Linked DNA regions of Rattus norvegicus. Each later gene encodes a partner of the first gene's protein in a complex. Links are inferred from orthologs where the notes say so. Each region holds a gene or a part of one and is shown in the gene's direction. Other genes may lie near its edges.

What was found. The genes of interacting proteins can lie anywhere in the genome.
Region 2: Arhgef6 (region 1) and Dcp1a share a complex: the UniProt entries of both Homo sapiens proteins name them as parts of the cytoplasmic complex. The link is inferred for Rattus norvegicus from reciprocal best matches to the Homo sapiens genes ARHGEF6 and DCP1A.

The regions. Positions count from the first base shown.
Region 1 is NC_086039.1:140,184,279-140,186,603, reverse strand, and holds part of Arhgef6 (rho guanine nucleotide exchange factor 6), read left to right. Parts: intron 1-409; coding exon 410-464; intron 465-1,695; coding exon 1,696-1,836; 3' UTR 1,837-2,325. UniProt on the Homo sapiens protein: Acts as a RAC1 guanine nucleotide exchange factor (GEF).
Region 2 is NC_086034.1:5,662,639-5,666,352, forward strand, and holds the start of Dcp1a (mRNA-decapping enzyme 1A), read left to right. Parts: upstream 1-798; 5' UTR 799-823; coding exon 824-958; intron 959-3,030; coding exon 3,031-3,071; intron 3,072-3,714. UniProt on the Homo sapiens protein: Necessary for the degradation of mRNAs, both in normal mRNA turnover and in nonsense-mediated mRNA decay. Removes the 7-methyl guanine cap structure from mRNA molecules, yielding a 5'-phosphorylated mRNA fragment and 7m-GDP.

The DNA.
Region 1 (2,325 bases):
ACATGTGGTGATGGCTGTGAAAATAACTCTATTTATGGCATAATTTCATAGGACAAACACATTGAAGCATCATGCTGTCTAACTTAAATAGTTTTTAATTTGTCAATTATATCCTCTAATTGAAAAACAATGGTTTTTACCTGTTGTTTCCTGGCCACACAAACTGGACGTGTGAAGAGCAGCAGGTATAGAAGTGAGGCTGTAACATGGTATAGACGTGGGCATGTGTGATGAGAGCTTTGTTCCTATGGAGAGAAAGAACGTGGACCATCCGGAGTAGGGACACTCGTCATTAGGTTGAAACCCCACAGATATTTCCATCTCTGTATTTATAGAGAGTTGTAGGTTGCTTATTTATCAGCACTTCAGTACCCACCATTCATTTATGAATTTTCTCTGTATATTTTAGGAGCCTTGTTGATACTGTCTATGCCTTGAAGGATGAGGTCAAGGAATTGAAGCAGGTAATGCAGTACCAAAAGTTATCTTCTCAGATGACAGACCAGCTCTGTCTTGTTGGCCACTGGGAGGTGGTTTCAGGAGGAGCTCAGGAGCAGGTACTAAGGGAGAGTTAGTATTTTCTTTGCAGTAGCAGGTAGGTTTTATTTCTTTTACCACGTGGCCTTGAATTTCTGAGCCTTTCTATTTATATATATGCAGCAGAGTCCCAAACTTACATATTGCTTTCTTGTTTCTTCACATCTTAAAAAACTGTAAGCAAGCTCAGGTATGGCAGTGCCTGTCTACAATCCTAGCCACTAGGAAGGTTGAGGCAAGGGTATCATGTATTTGCTAGCCTGGTGTAGCAAGACCTTGTCATGAAAACAAAAGAAAAGGAATAATGAAAGAGAGATAAAAGAGGAAGAAAGAAGATAGGAAGGAAAGACAGAAAAGAGAATTGTCTGTGGTGGTTTATAAATTTATGGGTAATGTAGTCCCATGCTCCATGACATACACACACCCTATATGATAAGACTTAGTGTACCTGTAGGAAGGGGACGCACAGTGAGAGGGGAGTTGAGAGCCTTCAGCAGCACTTGTGGAATACTTAGCAAATTCTGGATGAGCCCTGGTTTAGTCGTGAGCTGAGGCCGGCCAGTGAGGCCAGGAGGAGTAGAGGCATTGCAGAGTTGAAACTTATGACATATGATGGCGCAGTGCTGGGATTCGGAGAGAACAGACATTAGAGAAGCTTCTCCCCATGGTTATGTAATGTACTATGGTGGGCAAACTTTCAGCGATGCAGAAGCACTGGAAGAGGTTTCAGGCAATGGGGGAGGTGATACTAAGTTCCCTTTAGAATGGAATCATCTCTCTAGATGGACCTGCCCCTGACATGATCCTGTGGATCTGATACTCATAAGATGAAGTTGGCACTAGAGATATTTGGCAGCCTCTTAGTACACGCTTGTATCAAAAAAAAGGGGGGGGGGGATCCTAAATAAAAAAGTGTGGAGCAAGCTGTCTGTGGGGCAGGTTCAGACTGTGGGAACACTTGGATTAAAGTGAAGAGTGTGGGAGGCTGCTTACACATAGGCAGAGAACCAAGAGACAGCCTGCTCTCAGAATATGTAGTCAGAGTGAGGGATGCCATGAAGAGAAGGGGGAGGGGGAGGGGAGGAGGAAGAGGGGGGGGGAAGAACCCCTGAGAAGGGCTGCCTTGGCTCAGTGATTAATAACTCTTTTCCCTTCTAGGAGAATAAAAAAATGAAGCAATGTCTGGAAGAAGAATTGAAGTCGAGGAAGGACCTAGAAAAACTGGTCCGGAAGCTGTTGAAGCAAACCGATGAATGCATTCGCGCTGAATCCAGCAGCAAGACCTCGATTCTTCAGTAACCATCACTGTGCAGGGGAGCACAGTGCCTTCAGCACATGTTAAAATGGCCAGCTGAATGATATAACTGTGCACTTAAGCTTTGTGCTTTGTGGTGTTGGGATTCTTTCTCTCTTCTTCCCTCCTCTCCTACCCCCTCCCCCTCCTCCCACCCCTGCTGTTTGATTCAGTGTTTGTTGCTTGGTTATCAGTTGATTGACACTTGTTTTAACAGGGGAAATAGCCTGAGGTGGTGGTAAAAATGGCCCCGATATTTTGCTCTGCCCAACAGCCCTTAACTACCTAATCTGCTGGAGGCTAAGCTTCTCAGGCTTTGTTTAGAGTAGGTGAAAATGAACACCTTTGCCCAGTGACCCAGCTGCACCTCCCCTGACTGTCATACGGCCCCTTTCAGTACTGTAAAAATTTATTGCCCATGTTGTCTGTTAAGATCAGGAACAGTGTAGTGCCCTTATACCCTTTGTGCTGGTGGCCATTTAAGGTCAGTGTGG
Region 2 (3,714 bases), on another chromosome or scaffold:
AATGAAAATAGGCTGAGCACGTTGTTTTACTTTGTAGTACCTGACCCCTTAGGATGCCCAATAATGTTGGCTTTTTAAGAGATCTACTTATTATTTAAGTAATAGGTCTTTCTATATTGCTTTTTTTTTCTTTTTTTCGGAGCTGGGGACCGAACCCAGGGCCTTGTGCTCGCTAGGCAAGCGCTCTACCGCTGAGCTAAATCCCCAACCCCGTAATAGGTCTTTCTAGAACAACAGAAATATTTATTTAGGACCCAGATGAAGGAAAAGACAAGCCAAAGAGGGGAAGCCGAGTACAGTGTAGTTCCAGGCAGGCTAGTTTGGCTGCTTTGAAACATTTCTTTCAAAAATTACCAAACAGTTAAGAGTGAAAGTGCAGCTCGGAAGTAAAGTACAGCTCCCTTTCCTCACTTGGTCTGAGTTTTCTCAATGGTCCATGAAAACCTCACTTCCACAGCAGCAAGCATTTCGATTCAGGGTATGTGCTGGGCTGCGGTCTCACTGGCAGGAGTCTGGAGCACTCAAGGAACAAGTTCAGATCCCGCCAGGTGAGAGAGGAGGACTCCGGAATGTCGGCTCGCCGAAGCTCCACCGCGCAGGCGCGGACGCCTGTACCTTCCGGCAGCCGCAGACCTAAAAAGATCGGAACCAGGCTCCCAGGGCATAGGAGCGGCGGATCAGATTAACTGAAGTACCACCCTCGGCAAGGCAGGTCGGATAGGCGGAAGTGGACGGCTGACTGAGCTGGGGGAACTTTGCCTGGATGGCACTTTCCTGTTCTCCAGTCCGCCCCCGCCCGAGGGGCTCGGCCTGGAGATCCAAGATGGAGTTGTTGAGTCGAGCTGAGCAAGAGATGAGTCTGGCGGCCTTGAAACAACACGACCCCTACATCACCAGCATCGCAGACCTCACGGGCCAGGTCGCCTTGTACACTTTCTGCCCCAAAGCCAACCAGTGGGTGAGTGAGGCCCAGCCGTGGAGAACGCCAGCCTGGCCGCTGCCGCCTCTTAAAGGGACCGCGCAGACAGCTTAGGATTGGGGGTGGGGTGTGGAGCAGAGTAGGACCGCAAAGGCGAGGCCCGAACCTCTCCCAAAGGTCCTTCCAGAGCCGAAGAGATGACGGGGGAAAGGGGAGGGACACGCGGAATTGGAGGAATGAAGGGTAGGAGTACACCAGAGACATAACAGGGAAATCAGATGGAGGACAGGAATGAGGCAGGATCAGTCTTTTTGGGGTCGGTTCTGGAGACTTGAGGTTGCATTGGCAGGATATGAGACAAGTTAATTTTTTTTTCTAACAAGTGATTGAAAACCTGTGTTTGAGACTTTGAAAACTATTAGATAAATCACGTGTTCTTGATTGCAAAATCCACTCCTCTTTCCCTGCCGACCTAAATGTGATGATTTGGATTTGAAGCTTAAAAATCAGTCTCAGGAGTTAGTCCAGCTTTAGCAGAACTGGTATCACCGGAGTTTAAAGAAAGATTTCAAGGCTACTTCAGTAAGAATTGGATTCCTTGGAGACGTTTTTACAAGAAAAAAAAAAAAAAAAGAGACCGGTGATAGGACGTTTGATCGCTCACTTCTTAGTTCTTTTTGGATTTTGTGAGTGGCATGGAGTTCCAGAAATTACATTCACTGACTTTAGTTAACCTCAACTTGAAGCACCTATTTACATGATGTCCTATTTCCTCCTGATGCTAGGCAGACACTGTACTGTTCCTCTACCACTGGGCTATATACCCAACCCAAGTTACAGTTTCTTAATCACATTTTCAGGCGTTTATTTTAAAAACCTACCACATTTGTCTAAGGCAGAGAATGGTTTCTATCCACGAGTCTTAACAAAGTTCTGAAAATATTAAATTGTGTTTGGTCACCACAAAATGTGTAACTCGTGAAAATAGTCCTAAATTCTCCAGAAATGAAACAGTATCTTAGAAGAAAACGTCCCGAGGGTTAGGGATTTAGCTCAGTGCTACACAGCTGTGCATCATGAGGCCCAGGCTCTGAGTTCAACCTGGTATCCCTTTTGAAGAAAGTTTCCATTCTTTTTCTATAAACCTCAATAGACTGCTCAAGTTTGGTTTGGTTTGGTTTTTGGTTTTTTTTTCCAAGTTTTTGGTTTTTTAAGTTGCAGTAGACAATACCTTGACTGGAGTATTAAGATACCTAGTTGAAAGGTTTTAGTGTTTGCAGAGAGAAGCTGGGGCAGAGAAATGGCTCAGTAGTAGCTAAGAGCATTTGGTGCTCTTCCCAAGGACCTGCCTCAATTTCCAGCATCCCCATGATGGTTCAGACCCATCTGTAACTCCAGTTCCAAGACGTCCAGTGCCCTCTCTAAGCTCCACGTACACACATACATGTGTTACAAAGAAATACGTATGCTGACAAAAGAGCCCTACATCTTTTCTAATTGAAAAAAAAATTTAATACATAAAATAAGTAAAGCTAAATCGCTTTTTTTTTCCCTTTAAATGTTCCTCACTGGCAAAAATAGACATGTGCTACAGATGTACACATATTGTTGGGTTGGACATACATAAACACAGGGGTGAACAGATACATAATTTGTTTAGATTTCTTTTAAAAAGTGAATTGCTTTACCTGTTCAAACGTGACTAATTTGGAGGCTAAAGAGACAGCTCAGTGGATGAAGTGCTTGCCTCCCCAGCTTGAGAACCTGAAGTATTCACACAGAAAGCTGGACGTAGTAGCTTGCACTTACGTGTCCTCTGGGGACATGGAGGCGCTTATGACACAACACTGGAGCTCACTGACCAGGAAGTGCAGCTAAATTGCCCATCTTCTGGCCAGTGAGACCCCCTGACTCAAAAGAAGGAATGACGCCTGAGAGTGACCGATGGCCTCTCCAGTTGTACACAAATGCCAGCGTGCATTCCCTTGAGCACATACACGATCGATTTCACAGTAAATAAGACAAGTTGGCCTGAACGTGTAGGTGCTTCACCAAGATCATTTGACCTTGGATTATTCCTGGAAAACTGACAGAGTCGTTGTCTGTTACAGGAGAAGACTGATATAGAAGGGACATTATTTGTATACCGAAGGTAAGTGGCTTAAGGATGTTTCTACTTCACTTGAATGGTGGTGATCGCTGTGGTGGAGCGTGGTCCGTTTCTATCGTGTATGTAGCTTTGGAGCCTTCCTGTTTATCTTCTTCCAGTTTTCCCCCACCCAAGCACTACAGTCCTACTACAGCTGCTGCTCTTCTTCCCATGTTAAAAAGAATGCATACGTACGAATGTCTGCGAATATAGTATAGTACAGTAGCTATAAAGTGATTGAGATAGCACTCTTGCCGGTCTGTAGTTTCTGATGAGAATTTGCCTTCTGTGGCTGGTTCTGCCCCTTTCCTGCCTCTTCCCAAAGTTCTAGGTCATTCCTAATTCATATACATTTTACTTTAAACTTCTCTGAAAATTCTTTTTTTTAAAGATTTATTTATTATATAGGAGTACACTGTAACTGTCTTCAGACACACCAGAAGTGGGCATCAGATCCCATTACAGATGGTTGTGAGCCACCATGAGTTCACCCTGGGATTTGAACACAGGGCCTCTGGAAGAGCAGTTAGTGCTCCTAACCACTAAGCCATCTCTCCAGCCCCGAAAATTAATTCTTTAAATGGTTGGTTTGTAAAGGTTGACAACTTTACCTTGTTTGGCAGCATAGGGGCCTCATCCTAGGTGG